Astyanax mexicanus: one gene and its partner. The protein of the gene in region 1 binds, or shares a complex with, the protein of each later gene. Links are inferred from orthologs where the notes say so. Each region holds a gene or a part of one and is shown in the gene's direction. Other genes may lie near its edges.

Region 1 (16,543 bases):
TTTAATACACATTAATAGACAATAGAACAAAACAGCACAATTGCTATAATATTCTACTAATGCACAAATACAATATTCCCTATATCTGCATTATTCTTCTTGATCCTGAGGTTTACTGTTTTATGCTGAACATCTGACCTTAACTTTTCATTTAAAGACAGAGTGGTAAAAAAGAGACTTCACTAATAATTTTACTATAGAAAATTTTCAATATTTACTGAACACTTAAAAAAAACTAAATACTGAATAAAACTCTAGTGCAGGACTAGATTATACCATGAAATAGGATGATTATTACTAAATGACAGATAGTACATGATACATACTTGAAATATCTAGAGAAGCTTCTACATACTGCAGATATTCCTCTATAGCTGCTGTACAGCAGGATTTATTCCTTTAACTCTTACCTGTGCAGCAGGCACTGGCTCAGTCTCCTGAAGGTCCAGCCTGTGGTCTGCCTCCCCAACCAGCACCCCGACTCGGCGACGAGACCTGAAACAACAAAGCAAGCTACACAGGTTAAATGTGGTGCTGCGCTGTTTCTGGGACCTGCCCCGAGTGTGGAGGGTCGGTGAGAGGTGTCCGGTGTCCTGCTGGGGTGGCTCTGCCGACTGAGAAGATAAACAAGGGAAGAAAAAAAATCCTTCATTAGTCAATCTGTGTGGACATTCACAGTGTTACAGCAGTGAAGAGATGGTTAACCCTTAAAAAAATGCTGTTTAAAGAGGATACTCATTCGTTTTAAAGGTGTATGCTGCTTTAAATAACACTGAACTCTGACCTGTAGACTGGGAGCAGGCTCCAGAATCTCCTCCTCTCCGATACCATCCTGCCTACGACCGTCCTCCTCCACATCATGGTCCAAGCCAGCCACAACCTACAAGAAACCGAGAGGAAAAAATTAATGGGTTTCTAAAGAAGCACAGCTGTTCAATTTGAAGATGATGAGGTAAAGACAGAGATGATGTAGGACTGACTGCAAACTCCAAATACCTGTGCAGCTGGCTCAGCCATGATGCCAGGCACTGGTTCAGAGGAGTCCAGCCTGTGAGAGGGCACTGCCTCTGCAACAGACACAATGACTCCCTGAACTGGCCTGGGATGTGGAGGAGAGGGAGGCTCCATGGTGCTGGGGAGGTGGTCTTCTATGCACTGTTTAAGAAAAAAGTCAAGCAATACAAAATGTACTTATTAAATACTGTACTAAAATATACTGTAAGACCATGTGCACTGTTCTGATTTACCCTGAATAAACATATACTATACTGCATGGTGGTTTTCTTGCTTCTCAGCTAATAGCCAGGTTTAATAAGTGTGTCAAAGCTGCACAGATCTCCGTCTCTAATTAATGCACTACTTTTGTTGCTGTACTGTTTCAGTATTTTAGGTGATATGTGGTTTTGGATGCAGCTGTATGACAGTGATGCTTCACTGCAATTTAATCTTTTATTGTGCACTTTTTCCTCACCTGCATAATACAGGCCCTCAGCTCCACACAGGGCTCTGGCACTTCACCCAGCGACTGAAGACTGGTGGACAGAAGGCTGGAGTCATCGGAGCTGAAGTCCAGATCGGAGTCCACCTGCAATTGAAACATATGTTAAATTAATTCCAACCATCATCGAAAACATACACCAAAAATATCACAGTATACAAGTTTTTATAGTATGGGTTTCATATAAATGTAACAATATATAATAGACAACTGTCACTGTGTGTACCTATGGCAATATTGGCTTTACTATGGCTGATTCCATTGTAAATCAGTGTAAAGAGAATTTATGTCAAAGCAATGAACTATTAAGACTATTTATTATTAAATAAAAAGTGCTAATTATGTGCTATCATGCTTTATAAAACATCACAAACTGAATCTGTTTTAGTTTGATGGATCGAAATTAGTCCATATCAGTAAATCTGACATTTTTATATATATATATATATATATATATATATATATATATATATATATATATATATATATATATATATATATAAATATATTACTGGGTCTGATAAAGGTTTAATAGATACTTACAGAAAGAGGCGGAGTGTGAGGAGGTGAAGCCTCTGGAGCACCAGACTCCGCCTGCAGAACAGATACTCACTTTAATTCGAGCTGATCCATCTCCAGCTTTATTTCTGAATTTTATTCAGTTTTATTTAGTTCAGTTTATGAATATGGGTTTGGTCTAAAATGCGAAAAATGTCTACTGACCTCACGTGGAAGGAGGGTAGAAATCCTCAGCCACCAGGCCATTTCCGACCGCGGGGCGTTGGTCCCTCACCTGATCCGGTAACCTGAAGATAAAAACAACAACAAAAAACACAACAACAACAACAACAACAAAGAAAATACAACAATTACAGAATAATTAAATCAGAATAAAGATAATTAAACAGTCTAAAGTGTAAATCAGGTGGTGGGTATGCAGTTGTAAAAGTGTCTCTCGGAAGTGAAAAGCTGCTGCTGCTGCTGCTGCTGCTCAGAAGCTCTAAAGCTCAGAAACAGTTTAAATAAAAACAAATAAATCGAACCTTATATACGCCGCGCTTTGAAAAAAAAGCACATATATATTTTATATATATTATTTTTTATTTTATTTATTGTTATTAGTCGCTATTACCTTGTTTGTAAAACTCAATCAAATAATGAGAATGAGATCAGGTTCAAATAACACGAAAAATACAGAATTAACATAAAAATAAAAATAATAATAATTTTGAGTCGGCGCATGCGCAGTGTCGATAAGAAGCACTCGTCGATGGGTAGCAGAACTCGACAAAACATCCGGCTCTACTTAAAAAGCTACAACAGGTGTTCTGTCAAATTAAGCTACCCATCGATACGTGCTTCTTAAAGGCAGTGCGCATGCGCGCTGACCTGCAATTTTTAAGTATTTCTCGTTTTTTTTTTATCTGTTTTTTTTGTGCATTAAACAACAGTTCGACTCACTGTCATTGCACAGAAGTGTAAATGGAAATGAATAACAATAAATACAATAATTATTATTTAAAAATGATAATATCATGATATCTGGCTGTATTTTGTACCATTATACAGTGATTTATGCTTTCCCAATATATTATATATACGTCTACTACGAACATGCTCGAATATTGTTCTCTTTTTTTGTAGTTTTACAGTTAATATACATTAGGGAAGCACGGTTTGACAAGGAAGCACGACTCGACAGAACACCGGTCATTTTACTGCAGTGAGTACCTGTGGAGCTAACGCCAGTTAATTTAGCAATGCGGTTATTCAGAATTATACGACGCCTCCATTTCTGTTTATTAAAACAAGAAGAAGTGCTGCACGGTGGAAAGTTGCAGTGTTGGAGTCACGGGTGAGGAGTACTTTACTGTTATACTTTGAATATCCTTGTAGTTTAAGCCAATTTAATATTTACTGGAGTTCACATTGTTAGCATTTAAACACTGTACCACAACCAGGTCCAATATACAAATATTATCTAGCTATGATATGAGGTTACCTAAAAAATAACTTTACATCAAATTAGTTTTTTTTTCTTTCTGGTCAAGTCAAGTTTTTTAAGCACCAGTGTCTGTGCCTACTCAAACTCAATACATGTACTCAATACTACTACTAATTAGTAATTCTAATATATATATATATATATATATATATATATATATATATATATATATATATATATATATATAAGCTATATTTAAAGTGGACATAATTTGTGTGTTGTTAACATTATTTGTGTGGAAAAAAACTGCTTATTCTGTAAAAATATAAAATAGTGTGTAATGTTGTGTCCTGTTACACCGACAGGTTTCCTGTAATGAATCTAACGGGGATTCTTGCCCCATTTCTTAGAGACAGAGACCATGGGACAGAACTATACAACAGCAGACAAATATTAGAAATGTATTATCAATTTAGGTCTTTATATTTATGATTAGCACAAACGATACATGAATAATCTGTAAATATTATATATTTATTATGTTTATATATTTATTAGGTGCTGTGCTGTGTATCACGTGTAGTATCTTTGACATTTTGAAAAGGAAAAAGACTAGCATTTTGGTTAATAACTAAAAGGACACAAAGTAGCTGTAAATATCTTTTTTCAGTAATTGCATTTGTGAAGTTTAGAGGAGAAGGAATATAGAATAAAATATAGGAAATAGAATCGAAATGTCCTGCTTATTTTAATTCTTTTTCATATTTTTATTTTTGGTTCCAGTCATGCGATTGGAAATCAAGAAAGATCAGGTAAATATCTAACGTTACTTGTATGTACATTTCTTTCTGTGTGACTGTCTGACTCTTATCTATCTATCTATCTATCTATCTATCTATCTATCTATCTATCTATCTATCTATCTATCTATCTATCTATATGTCTGTCAGTCTATTTTAATCTATCTATCTATCTATCTATATATATATCTATATATATCTATATATATGTGTGTGTGTATGTGTGTGTATGTGTGTGTGTGTGTGTGTGTGTGTGTGTGTGTGTCTGTGTGTGTCTGTCTGTCTTTCTAACTAACTTTTTGTATGTCTGTTTCTGTCTGTCTTTGATTGTTTAGAAATGTAGGTTATAATTTATCAGTGGACCTGTGGAAGCCCCATGTGATTGGTGACTAGGCCTCAGTCACTCAGCAGCTCTGGCTCGATTACTCAGCCTGTCCCAGACTCGGTGAGTCGAAGCAGAAACTCAGTCGCTTCAGCTGTAACTTGTTAGCTGGGTTAGCTAGCAGGAGCTGCAGGCTGGAGAGGATGGCGCCCTCGGATCAGTCCGAGCAGCACAGTAAGGTAAAGAGCTAAAACGGGCTGGCGGCGGTGAGGCCGGGCCGCTGTGCGGTGCTGGGTCTGTGTGTGTTAGTGTATCTGTGGTTAGTTAGTTGGTGGAGGAAAAGTTTTAGCCCAGCTGCTGCTGCTGTTGCTGCTAGCGGGCTGTTTCTGACAGCTGCAGGCCACAGGCAGCTCCAGCCCTCCCGCAGACCGTTTATAAACCAGCCAGGGCTTTATTAACACTTTAACTATATCGTGTTTATTTAGTTATAGAGTTTATATGTGTGTAGATAAAGCCAGCAGCAATCTTCAGCTCTGGAACTACAAGGCTAGCAGGCTAACTAGCTAACGGATATGTGTGCAGAGCCGAGCCCGGGTCAGTGTCCACAGAGAGAGCAGCGTGTTAATGTTTACACTCAGCCTGAGCACTGCACTGACACACCACACATACCGCACAGCCTTAAACACTACAGAGAGAAAGAGCTCTGTGTTTAATCTCTTACATCTACATACTCGTGTGTACACCAATATTCTGTTTTGGTTGGCTGTCTGTTTCTGTCTTGCCTGTTTTTGTTTGTTGTATACATCTGTATCTGTTTATCTTTCTCTCTCTTTTATATCTGTATTTGTCTGTATTTATCTGTCTATATACAGGTCCAGAATCAGTTTCTCTGATTTTGCTATTTATAGGTATTTGTTTGAGTAAAATGAACATTGTCGTTTCATTCTATGAACTACGGACAACGTTTCTCCCAAATTCCAAATAAAAATATTATCACTTAGAGCATTTTTTGTAATTTATTAAAATAACAAAAAAAGATGCAAAGCTTTCAGACCTCGAATAATGCAAAGAAAACAACTTTATTCATAAAGTTTTAAGAGTTCAGAAATCAATATTTGGTTAATCACAGTTTTTTATGCATCTTGGTACGTTCACCTCCACCAGTGTTACACACTGCTTTTGGATAACTTTATGCCTTTACTCCTGGTGCAAAAATTCAAGCAGTTCAGCTTGGTTTGATGGCTTGTAATCATCCATCTTCCTCTTGATTATATTCCAGAGGTTTTCAATTGAGTAAAATCAAAGAAATTCATCATTTTTAATCTACCTATCTATCTATCTACCTATCTATTTTTACATGACTGTTCTGTTTTGGTTGGCTCTGTTTCTGTTTTTCTATGTTTGTTTATTGTATACATCTGTATATTGTCTATTTATCACTTTCTGTCTTATCTGTATATCTATCTGTCAGTACTTGTCTATTTTTGTTTGTCTGTGTTCCTCTCTTGTATATTGTTTTTTTGTGTTTGTCTGTCTTTATATCCCATTGTCTGTCTATCAAACATCTGTTAAAATGTCTGATATTAATGTGTAAAAACATGCACAGTTTTTTTAGTTCCTGTATTATCAAAAGAATAGGACTTTTAAAGTAGGATTGAATTAGGATGCATTAGGGTGTTGGGGATGATGCGGTGTGGTAATCTACTCAACATCTTGTCTTCATAACACTCTTGGCCTAAAGGAAATCAAATTCTCACAGCAATGCTCAACAATCTGGTTGAAACCTTTCACGGACAGTAAAGATAGTCATCTATTTCTGTCCATACATGTCTCTCTCTCGCTCTCTCTCTCTCTCTCTCTCTCTCTCTCTCTATATATATATATATATATATATATATATATATATATATATATATATATATATATATATATATATATATATATATATAGCTATTTATCTGTCTATGTGAGTCTTTCTAGCTATTCTTCTGTAAATTTCTATTTAAATATATAGCTATCTATCTGTTTGTCTTTCTGTCCGACTAGCTATCTATGTATATACATTGCCTGGCCAAAAATCACCACCTGAATTCAGACTTGTCTTGAGATATTCTTTTGATGCTTAATAATCACATATGTTAATGCCACTGAAATGTCTTATCCAGAAGTACTAAATAGAAGCTAAACAATATTTTAAATGTTTTATAAAAGATGGTGATAATACACAATACAAAAATATGTAACTTTTATAATACATGCAACCTTTATGCATGTGCTAAGCATTAAACATTATGATTTTAATTAAATATTTAACTGGGAAAAAAAACCCACATTTGTGTTTCCGCAGCAAAAGAAGAATATTAGCGATTTAATTATTATACAGGCTATTTATTAATATTTTTTTAAATCCTTTAGTTCTCAGTACAGAATCTCAGCCTGAGTGATCAGTGTTTCTCTCTGATCATGTTTGAAGGGTTTGTCTTTGGACGCTGTTATCAGTGTTAGGAAACTCTGTGAGAGGCTCAGTGTGATAAGTGTGTGTTTGCTTAATGCAGGGTTTCTCAATCCTGGTCATGGAACCCCCTGTCCTGCACATTTAGTCCGTTCCCTGCTTCCAGCACACCTGATCCAACTAAAAATATGTAAGGGTAGGGGTCTAAGAACTAGGAGTGGGAATCGCCGGGCATCTCACAATATGTAGATAAAATACTCATCCTAAACAAGCAAATACCAGGAATTATGGGTTTATTGGTGAATTTGACAACTAGTATTCACTGAAGGTTTACCTAATTCATTTTAGGAGCGAGATCATGTGGAGTAATGAAGCAGTAACTTTAGTACGTCAAATTGGAGGACATGCCTTGGGTGGTTTAGAGCACCTGTGTTTCAATAAAATATATATGCTGCACAGTAGAACAGTGCGTCACCACTGAAATTCTGCTAAATCTCCCTAAAGGACTTTAGCTGTCAAACGGTCATTTTTATTTGATGTGATTCACTTCAGTTCACTTCAGCCTTTTTATGTAACCTAATTCTGACTCATTGTTGGCATAGACATCTGATAGCGCTTTCATTAAGTGTTTCCTGAATTCTGATATTTGTGCTGAATATATGACCTCTGCACTGTAGATTCTGTTATTGCTGTTATTGCTGGTTTGTACTGGAGTTGAGCCCCTGTTTGCTCTTGAGCTCAATATCAGCTTCCAGGCTCTGCTGGTGTTTTGTTACAGTGCCGAATGATTGTCAGCTTCCCGACTGAAATCCAACAAGTGAGTGAAAGTGTAGAAGCTCTGTTGTCCTTTTCACCTTGTTCTGATGGAGGAATCAGGCTGTGATATCAGGATTGGCCTTCTGAGAAAAAAGAATATGCATTCAGGATATGCATTTTAATTTTCTCTTATTCCTACATCCAGTTTAACGGGACCAAGTATCTTCAGTGTTATGTAAAAAAAAAAAAAAAAAAAACTTTATCTGTCATTTTGACAATTGAGTCTGACATTGTGTCACAGTCGGTGGTCTAACAGATATAAGGAACTCACAGTTTAAACCAGATCATGATTTTTAATCACAATTTATTTTTTCAGATCCGCAAAATAGAAAACGGGGCAAATGTGAGGAAGTGATTTTAGCTTTACATTTGAAAGTATTTTTGCAATAAGGCTTAATTTGTTTTAATGACTTATTAAAATGTAATCGTATTAATGGAATCAACATTCTACGATTAATCGCACCCTTTTATCTGTATAAGACTGAATGTAATGACAAGGTGTCGTAAAACAACAAAGTAGCTGTGTGTGTGAGTGTAGGAGAAAAGAAAGGAGTAGTTAGTTATGAGATTTAATCCAGATTTTAGCATAAATAAATACAAAATCTACTCTTTAAACTCAGTAGTGATTCTGTGTTTACATCACTAAATAAAACCACTGATACATCACCAGGCTCTGTAAGAGGATTCATTTGCATGAAAAAAAAATGTTTTAAGGTTTCTAGATCAATCATATTTGTAAACTTTGGCAGGACTTATTTTGACCTAGTGTTTGTTTGGTATTTAAAGCTTTCACTGTGATTTATTTATTTATTTTTTGACACTTGAAGGTTTCTTCTGTTTAAACCCCTGTCCACGAGACTCCAGCACCTCACACTATTATAACTTTGCTTCTACTTACACTTCACAGTCTGTATGTGATTAAGGTAAAAACTGTAAAATGTAAACAGCAGCAGTAAAACTGGATTCCTCATTTTTATTGAAAAAAAATAAAATTGAGAATTTTGCATCACATTGACATGCTTATTGTAATGAAGCATGCAGTTGCAGTACACTGATCATGTGTAAGCTAAAATTACCCCATACTGCTCACCTTTACCCTTAATAATCATGCAACCTATCCAACAATACCTTGGCCCCTGTCCATATTCTGATATTGTCTGTCAGGGATCCAGAATGTAATAGGAATGAACTATAATAATGGGTTCAGTCTGAATTCAGTATAAAACTAGAGGACAGTAAAGTACAGACCTGTGTTATGGGCACAGAGACGGAGTAAAATGACGAGAGGGCATTAAAGAGAGTGTAATCCGTTCACCTGAGATTTACTATCTGAGATGTTATTTAGATGTCTGCTGTACTTTTCTTTTGGCAGTGGCTGGAATTTTATTACCTGATTAAGCCCTTTGGACAGGCATGGATCACTGACAATGGAAACAATGACTGAATTTTGCTCCATTTTTATTGTTGAGCTAATAACATTAGCGTGCTAAGTCTCTACTTCCTGTGTTCAGTTTTGAACAGGCCGCTGTTGTTCCACAGTCGTCACCCACCTTTTAGTCTCATCTTTTATAATGGTGGGAAGAATTGACTGAGCTTAAATCTAATTTAAAACTATTAGTAAAGACACTAATAGGGAGGACTCTGTTTACACAATAACTAGACGTTAGAAAATGTGTGTTTTTGCACATTACATTTTGTGACTGGTGTCAGTAATTATGGTGTCTGTAAAAGGTTTTTAGATTTCTAAGCTTTTCTGAGCTTTTCTTAGCTTGCTGGGTCAGTGTTCATCTGTTTAATTTACTGTTTTTGAGGCTAAACCTAAAAATTGGTGTAAAACTTAATCATTTTTTTCCCACATTTGGTTTAGTAAAAAAGGTTTTTCTTTTTTCTTTTCACCAAAAATATTTATTCTTTTTTCTTCCCGGTTTAATGGTATTGCACAACCTACTCTTACAAGATGCAAAAATTTACAAAAATTGTAAAAAAAAAAAAAAAAAAACATTTCTTATTTACAACACCAAATTTGGAAAAAATAAAAAACAAATTTTAACACACAATTTTCTATTTTCATTAACTAATAAATGATACACTGAGCTATCGTTATACTGTAAGCAAGACCATATATATAAATAAATATATAATAAAATTATAGGACAAATGTATTGGTATTAACACTCCAAATGCACAATATCTGAGTAAAAGGAAAGTTTACTGTTTATCCAATCAGAACAGTCTCTTAACAAATCTTTAGATGCAAAGTGCTTGATAAAGCATTGATAAAACAAAATGTATTTTTTTTGTTGTTGTTATTTCTGCCATTTCTCATTTTCTGCAAAATGCTCTAAATGACAATATTTTTATTTTAAATTTGATTTGGGGGAAATGTCTGTAGTTTGTAGAATGAAACAACACTCTTCATTTTGCTCAAACGTATACCTATAAATAATGTGTGTGTGTGTGTTTTTTTAAATATATTAGATATCAGGGTATTTATTTTATCGGCCAATCCTGAGAACTTATCAGATCATATAGGTGAGTTAAGATTTGCAGCAGAACTGTGCGGCTTACAGTTGGTGAAGCTTGGTCTTAGAAAGCTGCAGTACCTTCGTCCAACCACTAGATGGAACTCTGGTGCTGGAGCACAGCTGCTGCCACTAACAGCTCGTTAGCAGTCAGTGTGGAGATTAGCTGTTTCTGTTTAGCAGTTTCTGCTGTTTTTATTTGTATATACAATGTGTCAAATTATTGTTCCTCATGGAGGAAAGAGAAAAAATACTTTTAACCTCACTAACTGGATAATACTGCTCGGGACAGTGCATCGTTCAGCCCATTCAGTGTGTACCAGAGCTAACAAACACTACTAACCACACAAACAATTAACCACCACATTTTAACCACCAGTACTGCAGCAGCCATCTAAAATAATATTTAAAAAATCACAACTTTTCAGGTGTGCAAAAATAAATTAATAAATTCTGCAGTATTGTAGGTAACGCTAGCTTAGCTTATATGTGTCAGACTCTTAGCTGGGGTTTCCCAGTGTTTGTAATGTAAAGGAGAGGATGTGGGAGAGGATGTGTGGCATATTATATATACAGCTTGGATGATGTCACAGTAGAATATTGTTATTATTAGAATAAATGCTTAAAAACACACACACACACACACACACACACATGCCAATTTTAAAATACAAAAAATAAAAGTATGTGTTGCAATTGTTCAAAAATTTAAAATGTTGTGAACACAAACTCATATTAAAATGTTAGATTTTAGAGTGATTTTAGTGTATTTTTATTTAGAAGAGTTGGCCTTGGTCTTACAAAATGTCATGTGGTGCGACTGTGATTAATGTTAAAATTAATACATTTCCTTAATACACTTTACTTTTATTTTACAAATTCCCACTAATATTAAGTGTCTATAAATAAAGCATTTGCATTAATTTTTAGTTTTTTGTAAATAATGATCTTAATTTTGTTTTTTAGTGTCACAATCACTGGCTTTAATGTAGTTGATAGGGTATTTTTTTCCTGTAAATCCTATAAAACCGTTAAAATCTTTTCTAAAATACCATTATCTTCAGCATACAGTATCAATAGTTAATATAAAAGCAGAAAGATGAGCTCTGGATAAAGATATTTCTTTTAAACACATTTTAATATCGGACAACCAAAAAGAATACTTTAAATTATGATTTAATTTGTTAAGAAAAAAAATCCAAACCAACCTGACTCTGTGTGAACAAAAGAAATCTGTAAGTGGGCATTTACTTTTTCACAGCACTGTATGCTGTTTTTTTTTAAATGTTTGTTTATTTAAGGCAGCTGTTTGTTTTAGATGGCTGTAATTAGGTAAAATTACTAAGTTTGCCTGGAATGGTTGATTGGACCCTGCCGATCGGTGATTGGCCCATAAAATGCTGATCAATCCGTCTCTTAAAAATATCCTACATAAATAAAACATTAATAAAATGCACCTGCTGTTGTTTTTAAACCAAGTCAGCATATCAGCTTTATTGATATTTATGGGTTCTGCTTGTGTATAGAAACAGAATTGGCAACATTTGAGGTCAGCATTATTGAGGTTATGCTCATTTGTTGTACTTTAACTTAATAATGTAATTATTGTGACGTGCCTCGTAAATAGAGTTCAGTGTAGAAATAAATATAGCATTACTCCCCACTTAATCTGTTCTGTTTTGTATTGTAATAAAAGGGTCAATTAATGAGTAATTAATAAGTAATTTTCCCGCTTTGTAGTTAGAAATGTAAAGAATGATCATGTATAATGAACAGATTGTTTGCTAACAGTTAACAATATTTCTAATAGGAAATGAAGTCAGAATTCAGTTTAGTTAATAAGTCCAGCTAAACTCACTGTATTATGTAAGAAACACCTCTAGGTGGAGCTGTAACACAAGCCTTCTCTTCTCTTTTCTCTGCAGAGTGGATCTCCAGTCCGAGACGATGCTCCACCACGAGAAGCACTGGTAAGACGATACTCGTGCTCTGAATATCACCTCTATCCTTCCTCACTAAACTCCTCTAAAAACACAGAGTCTAAACATGTGCTCTCAACATGCTTACTCAGATTATGATAGACCATCTTGTGCGCTTACACACTGTTGTTTACACCTGGTCACTTCTTAATGTTTTAAACACATGCATTTTTACACTTTTTGACCCAATGTGCCTCCAGTTAGTCAGCCCAAAATCTGATTTCTGTGCAGGATGGAAGATGTACATTCATAAAAATTGTGCGTTAGTTATTACTGGTGTTACAGTTGTACTGGGAGAAGTTTTGGTTGTTGATTGTGTCTTGTAGACTCAGATACATTTACACTGTTTTAATATGTGGCTCAAATGTGTGTCAGAACACCGCCTGAAATGGGTTTGAATGATGGGATTTGTATTTGTTTTAAATACAATTCAGTTTTTTATATATACACCTTTTTTGCGAGGTTTGCATTTATCCTGATATCATCCTGATAAATAATATATATCAGTGATTTCTCTAATGATGATCTGATAACATTAAGATTCACTTGTTTGCATCAGAATGTAGGACTAAACACCCCATGTCTATTTATGGCCTCTTCCAAACATGGTTTGAGTTATCCGATAAAAAAATGGTCAAAAAATGGATTTCGTACACATTTTAATGCAAGTGTGAACAGAATGGCCTTTTTAATATTAAATTCTGTCAGTCAGGCGTTTGTATGTTTGTTATCTGCCACATTTTAAAGGGCTTTGAGACCTTTTTGTCTAAAACTCCACTATTACTAAACTTTTCACTTTCTCTGAGCACGACAATGGTCAAGATCAACAAATTTTATAGTTGGGAAAACAGAAGTTATGGATGTTTTGTTTGATTTTATGCAGGAAAGTATGCATAAAGGATGCATTTTAGTGACAAGTGTAAACAGAATCAAGGTAATCAAAATAGATCCAGAAACGGATACAAAACGTGTTCTAATACCTGGTAGAAGCAGTTTTGGTCACAGTAAAGGAATTAAGTTTAAATCTGCTAATAAGTAATGTTTGAAAGCTAGTTTTGAATAGGGTCCACTCATCCCTAGCTGTGTTATTAATCATTAATGCAAAAGGCTGTAACTTATTATCCTATAACTCCAAATAATGTTAATATTATTGTATTAGCTGTTTGCCATATAAAAGGTGTCCAGAAAGCTCTCTTGTTATGTGTTTTAACAACATGTACTTTAACATCTCACCTCAGAGACAGCATCAGGGTAATATTTTGCATAAATCTATTTGGGTTGAGCATAATGTTTTGCATAAATTTAGAGCTAGACATAATAGAGACGATGATGAGGTTATTTATTTGTCTTTTTGATGAGCAGACGTAATCAGCCATATTCTAATTATTTCAGCCGTTTTTTTTTTGTCCCAGAAGTTATTATCCTGTAGTTAAGAGTGTTTACTGGTTTATATGTCATTTAAAACCCAGAATCGAACCCATCCCCTTTGTGTTCCCTCTCTCACCGACACACACACTGCCTGCAGCTTGTTTAGTAACATCCGAATGATTAGTTTCTGAATTGTTCCTTTTTGTTTAATGTGATTTCACGGCATATATGATCTCAAACCGAGCTCAAGGCGCTCACCTCAAAAGCGGAAAAAATGTGGATTATTAAGGCTCCTCGGCCTCCTAACCGGTCGACAAGTCGCCTTTTTTCCCCCTCCTTTTCTCTTTTTGATGAGCTGCTCTTTCCCAGTTAAGTGGATTATTACAGTGCTGGATAATTCATGTCACAAGGCATTATTTGGATGAGGTGAATAATTGAAATCTGTGTCTGAAAGGATTTGATGTGGATGAGAGGAAGGGGACTGGTGGCAGGGTTGGAGGGAGTCAGAGGCAGGCTCTGGGCGGCTGTGCCGGGGTGTCAGGCTGGGGACAGCACTCATGCTAACAGGTTCTGACTCACCTCGCCGGGATGGGCGGTCCTCACTCCTCGGTGGCAGGCGGCCCCGGCCGTCTGAGCCATAGCAGGTTTGGACCTGCGCTCCGCTTCGCGCTGTCAATCAAACCCAGCACCAGTCCCATTCAAGCCTGAATGAAGCTCGCCTCCGGGGGCTGGCATCCCCACCCAGCTCACCGGCTCAGCCTCTGTGCTCTATTCCTTACTCTATCTGTCTCTCTCTCTATCTGTCTATCTGTCTCTCTCTCTATCTCTATCTGTCTCTCTCCCCCTCATTCCTCTCCCTCACGCCTCCCGTACATTTCCTCTTTCTTTAATGCTGTGAAAATTTCCACCTCAGGCAAACAGCATAGCACGTTCTACATCTGATGTTTGAGTGTGTGAACGTGGTGTAAAAGTCTCTGAATGATAATTAGAGGTGTAATTAGGAGTGTAAAACGTGAAAACTCAAATGTGTGTATTTTAGTGTGTATTTTTTGCTAGAAGAGTGTTTTATAGAAGATAATAAAAAGATGCTTTACACTCGCAACTGTTTTAGCAACCACAAATGGTTCTTTTGCAGTGTTGCTTATGGAAGTTTTTTTTTTTTTTTTTTTAATATTACTAGAAATATTGATTTTTTTTTTGCAGTATTTTGTCAGTTCTTAGATTCTAAGATGATTCATTCATTAATTCACTGCTTTATTTTATGTAGTGTTTAAGCCCTGGCTGCAAGATAACAGTGTTGTACTCTGTCTGTTGTCTTGATCTCCATTTCAGTTTTCACATATTGAGTAAATTCTTTAAAACTTGAATTGAGCCACTGGGAGTCTAGGTTTATCTTTTGGTTTACATTGTTAATAATAATCTGTTCCTTATTCATTATCACCATCCACATTTACTTACAAATAGAGTTAGTATACACACAGCTTGTCTTGTCTGTGTAGAGAAGTACTGCCAGTAGAATAGGACTCTCTGTAGCAGTTATACATTAACCTATTTACATCATTCCTAATGCCAGCTGTGGGTTAGAGATGGATTAATCCACCAGTATTGAGCTGTAGAGCAGTAGAACTGTGTTCTCTGGAATAATAGTGCTTCATCCAGTCCTTTGGGGATACAGTATAATTAAAAGTCCTCCATGGACAATGGGGACAGTTACATTTACTACAACTACTTTATTTTTTTTCCAGTTACCCTTGATTTTGGTAGAAGCAATAAATTAATAGGTATCCTATGACAGTTTTGTCTATATAGATTAAGATTGTTTATATAAGTGGGCTTTACGTTAAATGTTTTTGCCTTTACTCCACTGTAATGGGGACTGTTAGGGGTGGGTGATGTGGACCTAAAATAATATCTTGATATTTGAGGGTATGTTTATAATAACGGTATTCTCGCTGGTTTGACTAAAATGCTGAATATATATATATATATATATATATATATATATATATATATATATATATATATATATATATATATATATATATATTCTTTCCAGAATATACTACTTCAACAAAAACATTCAACAGAAAACATCAGATTTTTTTTTTTTTTTTTATGAATAACTGATAAAAAACTAACAAGATTTTTTACAGCAAAATAAATGTATCATAAAAGTAACGTCATGTAACATGAGTACTATATCAATATACAATAAATGGCAACAGTCAAAAATTATACCTTTTAAACTTTACAGCAAATCATCATACAAAATAGACTGCTTATTGATTTTAATAATATATATATATATATATATATATATATATATATATATATATTGTTTTATAATTTTTAACAATATCATTGTGTACAATATGATATGGCACACCCCTAATGACCGTACCCTGAGCTGGTAGTGAGGTTATGCTGCAGGGCTGTATGTGAACAGACTCCCAGGCCGACCCTGCCCTGCCCGCTGGGCTCGCTCTGTGTGCCCCAAATATCACCGGCCTCCTGTTGAAAGAGGCAGGGATGCAGAAGCTGAGGGAGGAGGTAAAAAAGGAGGAGAGGGAGGGGAAAAAAAAGAAAAAGTTGTCAGAAGAACATGCCGGTCTCGCTGCGACTTCAAAAGCTCCCCTTCCCCAGGATATTAAGCGACTGTGATGAAAAATTTAGTGAGCGTTAAATAAGGCGCTTTGAAGTGATCTGTTTTGGCTCAGCAGTCTCCGAATTTCCGGAGCCCCTCTGCTATCACCACCATGTTGGGAGAAGGGGAAAAAAAGACCTCACAAAGCCCAGGAATCGGGGGCAGTCTAACAAGATGCCAACATTAACATTACAGCC
Region 2 (16,108 bases), on another chromosome or scaffold:
TGCCCAATCTTATCTTATCTACGCAGAGTACGCATGCTTGAGGCACACGCTCAGTGCGTGTAAATCCCAGCTCATTACACAGCTTTTACATCAACACTAAGCAGAATACAAAATAAAATAACATTGCTGTTCCCATAAATTATCTTCTGGCGCACCTTCACAGCGGGAAAGCGCTGCACTGTTAAGATATCAACAATCAAAAGTCAGAATGCACCTGGTTCTTAAAGGAAATGACATATGAAATGCTAATTGGTTTATTTCCTGTTACAATAAGCTGGGTAGGTAGTGTATCTTTATAGTGTTTAATACCCATGCCCACTAAGCTGGTTATGTAGTGTATCTTTATAGTATTTCAGTATATTTCTAGCACTCAGTTATTGATCACAGGGTTGTGTGTTTAATTCTCATGCCCACTTAACTGGACAAGTAGTGTACATTAGTAATAGATTAGTGATAATGATACAGGTAGTGTACATTACTGTGTATTAGAGTAAACAATTAATTTGTCTTAAAGTTTATGTCTAGCGCTCACAGGTTATTGATCACAGGGTTTTGGGTTCAAATCCCATACCCAATATGCTGGTCAGGTAGTGTATCTTTATAGTGTTTAATACCCATGTCCACTAAGCTGGTTATGCAGTGGATCTTTATAGTATTTCAGTATATTTCTAGTACTCAGTTATTGATCACAGGGTTGTGGGTTCATATCCCATACCCAATATGCTGGTCAGGTAGTGTATCTTTATAGTGTTTAATACCCATGCCCACTAAGCTGGTTATATAGTGTATCTTTATAGTATTTCAGTATATTTTTAGCACTCAGTTATTGATCACAGGGTTGTGGGTTCAAATCCCATACCCAATATGCTGGTCAGGTAGTGTATCTTTATAGTGTTTAATACCCATGTCCACTAAGCTGGTTATGCAGTGGATCTTTATAGTATTTCAGTATATTTCTAGTACTCAGTTATTGATCACAGGGTTGTGGGTTCATATCCCATACCCAATATGCTGGTCAGGTAGTGTATCTTTATAATGTTTAATACCCATGCCCACTAAGCTGGTTATATAGTGTATCTTTATAGTATTTCAGTATATTTTTAGCACTCAGTTATTGATCACAGGGTTGTGGGTTCAAATCCCATACCCAATATGCTGGTCAGGTAGTGTATCTTTATAGTGTTTAATACCCATGTCCACTAAGCTGGTTATGCAGTGGATCTTTATAGTATTTCAGTATATTTCTAGTACTCAGTTATTGATCACAGGGTTGTGGGTTCATATCCCATACCCAATATGCTGGTCAGGTAGTGTATCTTTATAATGTTTAATACCCATGCCCACTAAGCTGGTTATATAGTGTATCTTTATAGTATTTCAGTATATTTTTAGCACTCAGTTATTGATCACAGGGTTGTGGGTTCAAATCCCATACCCAATATGCTGGTCAGGTAGTGTATCTTTATAGTGTTTAATACCCATGCCCACTAAGCTGGTTATGTAGTGTATCTTTATAGTATTTTAGTATATTTTAGCACTCAGTTATTGATCACAGGGTTGTGGGTTCAATACCTACGCCCGATATGCTGGTCAGGTAGTGTATCTTTATAGTGTTTAATACCCATGTCCACTAAGCTGGTTATGTAGTGTACCTTTATAGTATTTCAGTATATTTCTAGCACTCAGTTATTGATCACAGGGTTTTGGGTACTATACCCACGCCCGATATGCTGGTCAGGTAGTGTATCTTTATAGTGTTTAATACCCATGTCCACTAAGCTGGTTATGTAGTGTATCTTTATAGTATTTCAGTATATTTTTAGCACTCAGTTATTAATGACAGGGTTGTGGGTTCAATACCTATGCCAACTAAACTGGTAAAGTAGTTTATCTTTATAGCATTTATTACCCATACCCACTGAATTTGTTATGTACTGTATCTTTATAGTATTTCAGTAAATTTTAGCACTCAGTTATTAATCACAGGGTTGTGGGTTCAATACCTATGCCCAATAAGCTGATCAGGTAGTGTATATTACTAATCTTTAGTGTATTACAGTAAATAATAGATTTATCTTAGTTTATTTCTAGCACTTAGCTATTGATCACAAGGTTGTGGGTTTGTTCACCAAGGTTCCCTTGGTCTGCTAAGCTGTTGATAATCTAGGTCTGCAGTTAGCATCATGCTAGTTGGTGGGCTATAGGGTTTAGTCACTTGTTTGCTACATTAGCAGTATAAATAAATTAAATTAAATTAAATAAATTAAATAATTAAAACTACTGTTTTAATGTGTATTTCTTTCTCTTTCAGTCCTATGAGAACCGCATGGGCATGGCGGCAGATACAGAGGGCGAGGGCGACGACGAAGACGATGTGGTGGAGTCTCCTGATGACACGGGTGACGACCAGCGAATCATCATCAAGAAAGAAGGAAGAGACTCCGCCCCTCGTCGCTACTGAGTCGGTCATGCAAAAATGAAATGGAAGGTCCTTCTCACATGTTAAACATGAAAACCATGATACACACACTGTACACACTCTCTTACACACACACACATTCACACACAGACACAAAGCATAAATGTATTTGATATCAGCCTTTGTGAATGCATTGTCTCTGGAATGTATGCTCTCACACAAACACACACTCACTTACTCACTCACACACATACACACACACGAAGACACACACACAAAGACACACACACAGTGCACAATGCCCAGGCAACGTTTAGTCCACATTTAACCCAACACTCGACAATGTATGTATGTATGGCACAATGATGTAATTACTGTATGTATATCACTCGTCTATTCCCGTCGGTAAATGTGGTCATCGCACTGTATCTGACAACACTGAACACACCGGGTATTACTGCAGACGAATGTACGCTAGCTGATTTACGTTACTATAGATATACTATTAGCAGGGCTGGCCTGAACAGCAACTCACAGGCTTCAGGTACTCACTGGTGTTTACAAACAACTACCCTAATATTTCCATATTGCCATATTCCCATTCTGTGATGAACCATAATTGTAGGTATGCTCATTACTGTAGTTCAGAATATTCCCAGAAGAGGGCAGCATGGATTTTGACAGTGGATATTGCAACGTGAAGGCGCGAATAAACTGAAATCAGCGTTTTTCTGCCTGATTCCAGCAGACTAAGAATACAGTAATACTCAGAATGAGTTGAACAAACCTGTTGTGTTTGTTTACAACAGGGGCTTATCACCTGATTATTGAAAATTGTTGGAACTGGTGATTTCTTAAGCATCTTTGGTAGTTTCACCAGCCTGCTATCTGTTTGAATGGGGAGAAACCAAAATACTTCAAAATGAAAGTCTATTTACCATTTGGATCCATAATTCACTGCTTGTTCTGGCTACTGCACTTGCGCAGATCTCCACATAGAAGGAACGCTGATCCTCCATGTGCAGTGTAAGCAGCAAGCTGATTGGCTCTCCAAATAGCGGGACTTTATCCTTGAATGGACGCTGATTCTGGACTTCCATATCTATTTCTTTAGCTTCGTGTTCTACCATAATGAAGTAAAACATTTTTTTTACTGCTGGTGAGGAAGAAGATTTTTTCCATGTGTTTATTTGAATGGAAAGCACCAACATTTTCAAACACCTCTACTAAATACTAAATACACAAATACAGTGGGATGGAACAAACACAAGGTTTCAGTCGATTTGGGCCAGCCCTAGAAATTAGCCAGTTTTGCAAGAATACAATTAAAAATTGAGGTTTACGTTCAAGTCACGAGTTCATCATGGTTCAGCATCACCAGTTTAGTTTTCTTCAGTCATTCCTCTAGACACACTTAACAAATGAATCTTCCAGACTGGATATAAGCTATGTGTAGATACTGTACCTCCACTTTCCCAGCAGTCACAGTCACATAATAATTATAATAATAATAATATTATTGATAATAATCATGGGACGGTTCTCAAAAACAACTTCACTCACCTACAGATATACACACCTACACATAAACACACACTTGCGTACTGCAACACTCCCCCTCCTCAGCTGCATCAGAATGTTTGCTCAACCCTGAGCAGTTTTGATTGTATTTAAATGTATGTAAATACAAATTACTACTATTATTATTATCATTATTTTCTTTCTGTTATTGCCATTGTTCTTAAACACACTTCTCGCTCTGCACTGTTTTCTATTCCCATGCTTACGGATTCTATAACATTGCTGTCTAGTGATAATGATAATAATAGTATTAGTAATAATTCTGATAATGATGATAATAATGGTAATGATTGGCTTGATGAGTGTCTATTTATTTGTGTGTTCAACAGTGTAATTTAAGAACTTGTTCATATCTGAATCACAGTGAAATGGAAAGGCACATTGTGGTTATAATGCAGTGCTCCTCTTTCACTCCTCCCGTCCCCTCCTCCTCCTTTTCCCTCCTTCTCTCCCTCCTCCTTTAATCCGTCCACTTCTTCTTTTTGTTTTCTGAATGTACAGCTCAAACTTCGCCCCCTCCTCCTCCTTTGCCGTGTCTCTCTCTCTCTCTTTCTCTCTGTCTGTGTCGGTGTACAGTGGAAACCTGTCAGTTAATAAAGGCCTGTTGTTTTTTCAATGTGATATTAAGAATGGATATAAAAAAAACCAAATCTGCATTAATATCTTAACATTATTACTATGGTTACTATTGGGACATTTATCTGTACTTACTATTGATACGATAACACAGATTATGGACTGATTGTTATTGATAAATGGTCTGAAGTAAGAGAAAAATAAATAAATCTGTTCCAAAAGTTCATAATAAAAACACTCGGATGACGACAGCATGTGGTCTGTGGTGAATAAGGGTTCTTGATTTTTTTTCTTCTATTATTTTCCCATTTTTCTCCCAATTTAGCTAGGGCAATTGTACCACCCATTCAGAGGTTATTTAGCTGATGCCACAAAACAAGGAGGGTGAAGACTAGCACATGCCTCCTCCGACATATGTGACATTAGACTTTGCCTCTTTTTTAAACTGTTGCTGATGCAGCATTGCTGAGTGAGCTCGGAGGAAAGCGCAGCGACTCGGTTCTGATACATCAGCTCATAGATGCCTTGTGCTGATCAACATCACCCTAAGAGTGATAAGGGGAAAGAGTGCCATCTACCCACCCAGAGAGAGCAAGGCCAATTGTGCCCTCTCAGGGCTTCAGCAGCTGATGGCAGGCTGCATGACTGGGATTCGAACCAGCGATCATAGTGGCAGCGATTTAGACCGCTGGACCATTCCGGTGCAGAGGGTGCTTGGTTTTATTGACCCTTTAAGGCAGCAGTCTTTAAGATTTTTTTCTTTTCAATTGAATGCAGTAGTGTACCTAAATGCTTCTGCTACAATTTTTGCAAAGCCACATATACCACCAGTCAAAAGTTTGGACACACCTTACATTCAGTGTTTTTTTTTTTTAATGTTCTGCATTGTAGACTAATACTACAGTAGTCATTCAAACTATGAACAAAACATATGGAATTATTTATTAACCAAAAAGTGTAAAACAGCCAAAATATGTTTTATATTTTAGATTCTTTAAAGTAGCACCTCTTGCTTGGATGACAGCTTTACACATCTTGGCTGGATTTTTAACAGCTGTGCTGAACTCATCAAGAGTTAATTACTTAAATTTCTTGCCCTTATTGTGTTTGAGAGCATCAGTTGACATTTAACTGGTACTGTATAATTATTCTAAAAACAAGAGTGCACTGGGCCATCAACAAGAAGATGGTGGGTTTGATACCTGGGTTTGGTGGGGTGCATTGTTGGGCCCCTGACCAAGGCCCTTAACCTTCATTGCTTCCCAGGCACCACAGCGATGAATCCAGGCACCTGTTCTCACTGTGTCTCTGTGTGAGTGAATTATGGGAATTGGAGTGGGGTCTAATAGTGGGTACAGATGTATGATGGAACATTCCATTCCTGAAGTTGTGTGGTTGTTCATATACCGATCCTCCATCCCCAGTGTGTACTGGGAACACAGTGTGTTGCTACTGCAATGGTAAGGTGGTAAAGATTTTGACTGGTGGAAAAGAAATACACTTAAACAATTTAAATATGTTAAATACACTTAAAATAAGTTATTTTTAACATCAAATGATCAGATGAAAGAAAAAAAAAACATTCACAGACTATCATGTGATGGACTTAAGATATTCAGTATATTTTACTTAAAGCCTGTTATGAGTAAAAAGAACTTTAAAATAGCATTTAAAACCAATTACAGTAATGGGCATTCAGGTCAAAATATATATTTCTTTAGATTTATAGTCACATACTGCTGCTCACAGGTTTTTCACAAAGGAAGGTCCAAAGTCTATGGATATGACGGCATTTAAGGGCCACTCTTAAAATAAATGAAAACAGTTGACATTGAGAAGAAAGATGCAATATTATGAGGACCAACACAAAGGCTCTTGAGCAAGACCCTTAAACCTCACTGCTTCTCAGGCACCACAGCGATGCATCCAGGCATGTGTTCTCACTGTATCACTGTGTGAGAGTACTTACTAGTATGTATGTATCAGTGATGGTTTGGAGAGTCATGCCATCTGCTGGTGTTGATGCACTGTGTTATATCAAGTCTAAAGTCAGTGCAGGGTTTCCCTGGAAAATCTTACTGCACTAAATGGTTGCCTCTGCTGACAACTTTTATGGAGATGCAGATTTCATTGTCCAGCAGGACTTGGGCACACATCCCACTCTGCCAAAAGTACCAACTGGTCTTAATAAAAATATTAATAATAATATTCTTATTTTCTGACACACTGATTTTTGGGTTTTCATTGTCTGTAAGCCATAATCATCAACAATAAAAGAAATAAACGCTAAAATATATATAAATCACCCTGTGAGTTCCACATTTTTAACTGAATTACTGAAATAAAGTAACTTTTTTAAGTTATATATATATTTTTTAGATATGTTATTAAGTCAATTGTTTTTATTTTTTTAAGAGTGGCCCTAATAAGCTGTACACATACATAAATAAACAAGTTTGGTGAGAAAGAACTTGACTGGACTGCACAGAGTCCTTACCATAACCTTATAGAAAACACCTTTGGGATGAATTAGAGTGGAGTCAGGACTTAAAATCTGACAAGGAGGTTTATGTGTGTAAAGGCAGACGAGTGAACAATTTTGACAACACTGTGTATTATACATTATACAATATAATATCCTGAAAAGCTGAAACTTTCCCAACTTGATGATTCCCCTTTAAACTTTACCTCACTGTGATTATTTGGCTGGGGTTACTGTGTGAGAGAAAGAGAGAGAGACAGTGGACTTTGAATCCGTCCTTGAACACATGACGTCTGTAACTAGCTACTTTTTAAAGCACCTTTCCTAAAGAATAAACAGCTCGAATTTAACAGCTGAGAAGCTTTAAAGTGTTTGGAGTGCAGGGGTTAAGCAGTAAGTAAGAGTTTTAAAGCAGTAACTCGAGTTTTAAAGCGAAAATTTGCTTTGCTGCTTTGCTGTCTGTTCTCTGCTGTCATTTTAGGAATCTAACGTAAGCTACGCACCGTGCGCCTGCCGCGTGTAGGCAAGCGGGAGCCTCGAGCTGCGTAACTCGCGTTGGTGAATACCACTGTGGTGTCTGTTGATTCATGCAGAGCCTTCAGTTAGTGGCGCCTCAGGTGAATAAATAAAGATTTACACGGCGAGCTGAGCAGCGCAGGACGTGCCCAGCGGCTCGCCTGAGAGCCAGCCGCTTCTTAATCGCCTCTGCTTTGTAAGTAGCCCATAGGTGACCCTGGGTGCGTCATATTTTTGGGCAGGTTGCTAAGCTAGCTAACCCAGCGACTGCTGTAATAACGACGGCGTTAGTGGCTGGAGCGGCCGGTGCTGAGCTGTGGGCTGAGCGGTGAGTTTATTAGCTAGGTTAGCTAGATTAACTCGTTTAGCATTGTAGCTACACGTATATAAGAATAAACAGTGCTATTTAAAGCTATTTAACTTGCAGTTGTTAAAGGTTAACATGATTATTAGACAGCTAAGCGAGCTAAACAATGCGCTGCTGTCCTAATAGCTACGTGCCCTCAGTCTTGGAAGTGCCTCCTGTGGTTTATTAGGTTAGCTAGCCTTCACTGATGTGTAAGTTAACCAAGGTTAGCTTAGTTTAGCTTGCTAGCTAAATAGCCGTTACGTTACTAGCAATTAAAATGCTGGTGTATAATAAATATATTAATAAGAAGAGCATAGTTTTGAACAAAGTATTGTATTTGTTCGCATTGTTACCAGAGCTGAGTGTGGCATTATTTGTGTGTGATTGGTGAGAATTGTTCCGTTCCACCTTAAATGGTGCAGATAGATCCAGCAAAAGGATGGAGCTGCTGCACCATTTAAGGTGGAACGGAACAAGTCTCATAACAAACCTAAAACAGACAAATACATGTTTAGTAGGATGTTTACATCGGTGGTGAACCCAATAGTGTCTTTTTTTAACATCTTCTTTAAAAATATACTAAAATATCTTATTATTATTATTATTATTGTTGTTAGATTCCAAAGTGGGAATGCAGTTCCTACACAGACTGCGTGTGTGATTGTGGCTCAGCTCTATTGCTGTGGTTTAAAGCTGTGATATGATGGTTGCTAGGTGGTTGCTATGGCATTGTTGTTGGTTACCAAGGTTTTTAAGTGGTTGCTAATATGTTGCCGTGGATTTAATCAGTGATGGTTCATAAAGTGTGGCTGAGTAGTTTGTAGTTTGTTGCTATGGTATTTGTGTTGGTTGCTATGGTATGGCTATATGTGGGATGGCATGTTGAGCACTTTATTCATTCCTCTCTGGAAAATCTGTATGATGATTTTTACGAAAAACGTACATTGGATAGATTTGTGACTTCTGTAAACGTTAGGTTTATGTTTGGGGTTTAGTTTTTGTTCAGATGCTTTTTGTGCAAATAGTTTTGCATTTTTTCAAAAGCTATGTGCAAGCACAAAATTCCTGATTATGATGAATGATCCATCCATCCATCCAAGCAAGTTTATAGATGAATTTGTCATTTATTGAAGACAGTAATATAATTAGTATTAGTGATACAGGCTCTGATTAGAGCTGGGCAATATGATGATATTTTATACATTCATACATTTTCTTATCACTGATTACACATCACTGTACTAAGCAGTATTTGAATAGCACTTTTTAAAAATCTGAAACTTCTGATTCCTTTTGTCTGCATGTCAGAACATTGCAATACATACTGTTTATCATAAAAATAATTTAAATATTGTAATATGATATTTTTTTCTTTACCATATTACCTAGCTCTGTCACTGTGTGATGTACATCACAGAAGGTGCTTTTTATACTGGTAATATCGATATTTCAGTTATATCGTATGGACTGAAATTAAGAAACATATCATGACATAAGTTTTGGCTATATCGTCCTGACCTAGCTGTGATATTAAAATGTACTTTTTATTGCAGAGAGCTTAATTTGACATTAAATTGTCTTAAAATATAAAAAAATATATATTTTTACAATATTGCCCAGCCCTAAATTACACTTACTGCCCAGATAAAGAGCTTTTTCATTCTGTGTGTGTGCAAACATAGCCTATAAAAATGTTGAATAAATTATAGCTAGTTTAATATGTTCACATGACCTCGCTTTCCATGGATATTAAATGTACCACAGGTATCTTTCAGGGGCAACATCTTGGAGACCTTCATATTGAGCACCCACAACTTTTATAACGTGCCCAGCGGCTAATCGTTTTAGTCCTAATCAGCTTAGGCACCATATGTTGATGCCACTGGACAGATTAGGCCAGAGGGTCAGACAGTGATAACGAGAGGAAGGGTAGGGGTGAAGTTGAAGCTGATTCTAGAGATGATGATGATGATGATAAAGTTTTTTTTATTTATCAGCCTTGTTGATAACAGACAGGTAGATCCAGAAGCTCCAGTTTGGACTATAGTGTAATAATGTTTTTTAACTTTTAACACTCTGTTTTCCAGAACCTCCCGGGTGCTTGTCGGAGCCATCCTGACCCTGGGTTACCATGGCGATGCGGGAGCTAGTGGAGGCGGAATGTGGGGGAGCCAATCCCCTCATGAAGCTAACAAGTCACATGACTCAAGAGGGGGGAGCTTGGAGACACAGGTCAACGCCCACTGTGAGTTTATTGGTGTTCGGTTGTTTTGCTACTATTTGCAGGGTTGGCTGGCCGTCATATTCGTATCGATGCCCTGAAATTTTTTGATATTATTTTAGGGCTGTATTGGCCATTAGTGTATTTTTTTTTGCTGTTTCTAACTGATAACTGATTCTAATTTCACACTAAATATCTACTAGAGACTAGATTTATTTTACTTAATTTCTGGTATATGTAGTGTATTGTTAGTACCATGACAAAAATATTCTGCAAAATCATAATATTATTTAAGGGCCTTGTTGGAGTCAAGTATTAGCATACCTGGAGGCTTGGTAGTTTAGGGGTAAGGACTAAAGCTTATTTTACCAAAGAGAAAACCACTTAAACTTTTTGAGTTTCCTCTGCACAAGAAAGATGCGTGTATGTGAGCCATGTCGTGTCAAAAATAAATTTTTAGAGGCTCTATAATCAAAAATTGTGTATTTACACAAACCTGAAACGGGTTACAGTTATTTTCAAGACTTTAGAAATTCACTAGTAGTCTACAGTAAGGCTAACAAGCTACAATTAGAGACAATTTTGGATAGTGGCTGATCTGTTACTGACTGATGTTGTGAGAGAAAGCATTCTGGATTTCCAAATATTAAAATCTCTCAAAGAGCTTCCTGAATTGTTTTGTGAGTAGTCATTTTCCACCAGTATGTGCTGTTCAGAAGCAAGAGAAGCAGTAATGCAGTGCCATATTAGTCACAGTTCTGTTCAATTTTTGGCATCTAATGTGTGACATTAAATGTTGAACATCTGTCTTTTCTGTGTTTTTCCTCTCAGATTCCCCCCACACCAATCGAGATTGCCACAGAGGAGGAGGTAATTTTAGTTTCAGATTATTTTGGTCATGCCTGTTCTGTTAAGCAGTTTTCACTTTAGATCTGAAGTTAGAATGTTTCAAAAAGTACAGTGGCTTGCAAAAAAATGCATGCCCTTGAAGCTTTTCACTTTTTGTCACTTTTTAACCACAAACTTTAATGTACTTTATTGAGATTTTAATGATGGATTCAGCCCCCTTTACTCTAAAACCCTTAAATAAACAGCATAATATAGACCAAGAAACTCACCAGACAGGTCAGAGATACAGTTGTGGAGAAGTTTAAAGCAGGGTTAGGTTATAAAAACAGATCCCAAGCTTTGAGCATCACTGGACAGCACTGGTCAGAGAAGCAGCCAAGAGGTCCTTGGGCCCACAGCGAAAGTGAGAGAATCTGTTCCACAGAACAACTCTTTGTCGTGCACTTAATAGATTTGGCCTTTATTGAAGAGTGGCAAGAAAAAATACATTTTTGAAAGAAAGACAAAGTTTTTTGGGGGGCAGTTTGTCCCAAGCCATGTAGAAGACACAGCAAACGTGAATGAAGGTGCTTTGGCCAGATAAAATGCAGACCGCTATGTGTGGTGGAAAAGTAAAGCGGTTCATCACCCTGAACGCACCATGCCCACTGTGAAACATGGTGGTGGCAGCATCATGCTCTGGGGCTGCTTTTCTCCAGAATACATGTCAATACTGGAACAAAAACCTGTTGAAGGCCTTCCAGCAAGACAATGACCCTAAACGTACAGCCAGAGCTGCAGTGAAATGGTTTTATCAAAGGCACATATTCATGTTTTTAACTAATTGTGCTTATATATCACCTTGATTTCAGTATCGCAGTATAGAGAATTCCTTTCTGTTTAGTTCTTGGACCAGTCCAGTTTGTCATCCAACTGCATATGTGTCAGTCGCCAGGTTCTTGCCAATATATCATGTTTTTCAGGTGGACAGAATTAACAAGTAAAAAATTCTGTTATGGGAAATATGAAATAAGAAGTTTGTTTGACAGCTTGACGTTTCTGCGTCTCACTGACCACACCTTTAATTGCAGCTGGTGAGCGAATTTCTCCAGGCCCCCCCTCGGCCTCCTAACAGCTTTGACATGGGCCAGCTTCTGGAGGAGATGCAGCAAATCGACCAGCAGAGCTACAGACAGGCCCCACAGAGAGGTAGCACACACACACACTCACACACATTACACATGTGCTAACCCGGAGACCCCCAGGGGTCTGTGATTTACAGCAACAGATGCAGCAGATTTAAAGGAAATGCTGTTTCTGTTCCTGAAGGTCGGGAAAGTTTCTGTCACTGCTGGGAGTGTAGAAGCTGCCAGTACGTGAGTCATCGGTCAGTGAGAACTCCGAGGAGGGGAAGGAAAATATTTATAAAAAGGACTGACCCGGGATAAAATTCTTACCCTGTGTATGGTGCTGTAATAAACAGAATACAGAGTAATATCTATACCCTACGTATGGATAAGGTTTTACTGGAATTATCAGATTATTAACGTAATTTGATTTACGTAGATTCTCTTCCTTTGCGGGAATATGAAATTAAGTGACACCTCATTATTAATCCATACGGTTTAGTTTGATGTTGGCCCACTCCTTGCAGCTATAACAGCTTCAACTCAACTGGGGAGGTTTAGGAGTGTGTTTATGAGAATTTTGACCATTCTTTCAGAGGCGCATTTGTGAGGTCTAACTGTTTCTGCCAAACAAGGGAGCATGATATTGTGATAATGGAAGTGATTGGAACACCTAAATTTAGTGATTTGGATACATTAGTAAATACTTCAGGCAAGCTAGTGTATTGTGCGATAACTTCATAATGTAGTTATATTGACAGGCCTGAGCACAGTTCATCATGTTATGACTTTAAAGACTAAATTACCATATTTTTTGCACTATAAGACGCATAACTCCTCATTGTGCCTTATAATCCAGTGCACCTTATGTATGAATTTTACCAGTCAGGTTGTAAGGAGCAGTAAAGCCAATCAGCTGAAGTACAACATTATACAGGAGTTTCAGTGAAGTTTCTCCAGCACAGAGACTGGAGCAGTATTAGCATTAGCCACTAAGTGCTAGCTCTTTCACCATTCAGAGGTGAGTATATCGGATTGTAGTCTGCATGTTTAACGTTTTAAAGCAAGCTACGTGGGTCGAACCACTAGCTAATAGCACCTGGCTTACCTGAACACTCAGGTTTCCTCAGTGTACCACTGTCGGGCAGCACTAACCGCTGCACCCACATTGTAAGCCTACTGTAAATCTATCTATCTATCCAATATCTATCTATCATAGATACCGTAGAGAAAGTCTTACCTGAGGCTCTTCCTCACACTGTGTAAAATGTCTGATTCTCTTGTAAACAGAATCACATGTTTGTTTATTTATGTGATTCAACACATCAGTACTTTCTGCTTCCAGCTCCAGATGTAGCCGCATTGGCGCTGTCCGGCGACTGGGCTGCAGAATTCCTGTCTGGAGCCGACTCTGCTGCTTCTGCTGGTCAGGCAGGTCTGGACGCAGCGGATGCTGACTGGACTCGGGAATTCATCAATGACGTAACCGGTTAGTCTTATATGACTGTGTGTCTGTTCAGCTACCCTTTTCTAATCGTTATGTTATTGCTGTACAAAGTTAGAATATGTTAATTGAGTGAGAGTTCTAGACACTAGAGATGCACCAAAACAAAAGAAAATTTGGGAAACAGATTTAATAAATATTGGTATTTTCTTTTTTAGCTGTGCATAAATTAAATAGACAAACTTTTCTTTTGCTTTTTAAAGAAAGCATAATTCTTTAGAATACGTTATTTTGTCTTTCTTTTTACTTTTTTTTGCAGAATAATTTTGGTTTGCCAAATTTAATGATATTTCGGAGTTGACGCTGGAGGCGAACCAAACCATGGTTACCATGGTGTAACAAATGTGGAGTTTTTAATGACCGGGTTCGTACGGTCATGAAAAAACTGGAAAAAAATTTGAAAACAGCAATTTCCATGCCTGGATAAGTTTTGGAAAAATAGTACAAATGTGTCAGCTAGAGTTATTTCAGTATTTTAGCCCTAAACAGTGGAGCTCTCAGGATCTGACACACATTTTATTATTAAAGTTTGCGTGTCAATCTTTTATCTGATTAATTTTAGAATTACTATAATCAATTTTAATTATAGTTTTAGTTCATGATGTTCTGATGTTTTAAAAATCATATGGTCATGAAAATTTGCCTTAAAGGCATGGAAAATTTATGAAAAAAATAATGAAAATGTATTGGTTAAAACATGTATGAACCCTGAATGACTGATGTTGTGTGGTTTTTGACACTGTGTGACTCACTATTACACTATGCAGTTTGTTAAAATACATGGATGGATGATTTAAGGGGGTGTAAGGGGGAAACTGTTTAAATTAGATCTAAAATTCTCATTTTCTTTATTTTCTCTCTTTTTTTTGTTCTCAGATCCTGGGCGATGGGCTGAAGAGTATCTGGAGCAGTCAGAAGAGAAGCTTTGGTTGGGCGATCTGGGAGAGAAGGAGCAGGAGAAAGAATGGTAAGAGAGAAAAAGAGCAACAGCTGAAAGCAAAATTGGAGAAAGGACAGAATAAAAAATGTAAAACATTATAAAAGGTCTGAAAGAGTTAAAGAATGAGCCGAGGTCAGAGCAGGTTGTTGAAATTTCCCATCAGATCCAGCGCTCTTCAGTCATTTCCCACTTCAGTGTTAACCTTAAGGCCTGAGCGGAATCTAAACACAGCATTTTTGTGGTTGAAGAGCAGGGCAGGTCCTGTTGGGGCTGCAAACTTTCTCAGGGTAAATGATTAGGAGAATCACACTGGGTCATAAAGTGTGTCTATTAGTTTATGGATAAAACTGAAATTATGAATATAATCCTAGATTCCTTTTTATATATGTTTAACCTCATAATCTCTTTTTATAAGACTACACTGAGGATATAAAAATATAATTTATTTTCTTAAGGATTTTAATTTAAAACTCTAATCTCGTAGGACAAAGGAATATGAACCAGGAGACGAGCTGAAACAAACCGCCAATGAACTTCTAGCAAAGGTGGACGACCCCAAGCTACAGAACACAGAGGTAAGTGTGTGGTGTTTATTTATTTATTTATTAATTTATTATTGTACCAAATCTTCTGAACTTCACCTGTACATGGTAACACTTTAAATTATCATGGGATTGAATTAATCTGTCACAATTAGATAAATCCATTGTGAATAGTGCATAATGCCCTAGTTTCTATATTTGGTGCCAAATCCCCCCAAAAAAAGTGCACTCAACGACTCCATGCAAGATTATTAATCAAAGCGTAGCCTGAGGCTAGTTTCCCCAAAACTATCATTGTATTAAGATCTAAAGTGGTACAAACAGAGTTGTTTTAGATGCTCACGTAACCAGTGATGTATTATCTTTAAGTTTAGGATGCTTTTGGAAAAAAAGCCAGGCCTAAATTAGATTTTTCACTTGCTTCAGCTCCACAGATTTAACCTGGTACTTTACTAAAGACTTTACAAGTTTACAAATCAGGGTCTTTCTTTTAGTTCTCTGAAAGCACCTGGTCAGGAACACATGACCATGTTCCACCGCTCAGGCTGAGCTGTATTAGGGATTATGGCTGTTATTAGGGATGCACCGATGTGGGAATTCTGGGTCAATGTCGATATATGGTATTACACCTGTTAGGGCTGCACAGTACATTGTTTAAGCATTGTCATCGCAATGTGCACATGCGCAATAGTCACATTGCAGGAAGTCCAATAATACTGCAGTTAAATTCATGTTGTCATGTTGTAATGTTTTGCAGCTTGACACAAAAATAAGATGAACAGCGTTGTCTTTGCGTGCTTTTAAACACAAGGACTAACAGCCTGTTGAAAGCTGTGCAACTTAGTTCAGCACATCTTTGCTAATATATATTTCCAGTTACAGCCGAAATCATGCTTTTAATCCCAGAAAAAATGCTCTTTTTTACCTTCTAATAGGCCATTTAAATGTCTGATTAAACTGCCAATTATTGTTAATTTGCTGTTTATATATATATCGCATTATATATAAACAATTTTAAACATT

The links.
Region 2: the proteins of pex14 (region 1) and pex5 are in contact, whole or in part, in an NMR structure (PDB 4BXU), measured with the Homo sapiens proteins. The link is inferred for Astyanax mexicanus from reciprocal best matches to the Homo sapiens genes PEX14 and PEX5. Residues at the interface, in NP_004556.1 of Homo sapiens: Thr31, Phe35, Asn38, Arg40, Val41, Ser44, Pro45, Thr48, Arg49, Phe52, Lys55, Lys56; in NP_001124497.1 of Homo sapiens: Glu59, Leu62, Val63, Glu65, Phe66, Leu67, Gln70.

The regions. Positions count from the first base shown.
Region 1 is NC_064420.1:41,367,366-41,383,908, reverse strand, and holds the start of pex14 (peroxisomal membrane protein PEX14), read left to right. Parts: upstream 1-10,347; 5' UTR 10,348-10,565; coding exon 10,566-10,667; intron 10,668-12,280; coding exon 12,281-12,325; intron 12,326-16,543. UniProt on the Homo sapiens protein: Component of the PEX13-PEX14 docking complex, a translocon channel that specifically mediates the import of peroxisomal cargo proteins bound to PEX5 receptor.
Region 2 is NC_064413.1:6,426,736-6,442,843, reverse strand, and holds the start of pex5 (peroxisomal biogenesis factor 5), read left to right. Parts: upstream 1-7,327; 5' UTR 7,328-7,451; intron 7,452-7,610; exon of another isoform or gene 7,611-7,902; intron 7,903-10,010; 5' UTR 10,011-10,054; coding exon 10,055-10,168; intron 10,169-10,975; coding exon 10,976-11,014; intron 11,015-12,063; coding exon 12,064-12,181; intron 12,182-13,444; coding exon 13,445-13,588; intron 13,589-14,479; coding exon 14,480-14,570; intron 14,571-15,027; coding exon 15,028-15,118; intron 15,119-16,108. Other genes in the region: clstn3 (calsyntenin-3), read left to right, coding at 2,312-2,461.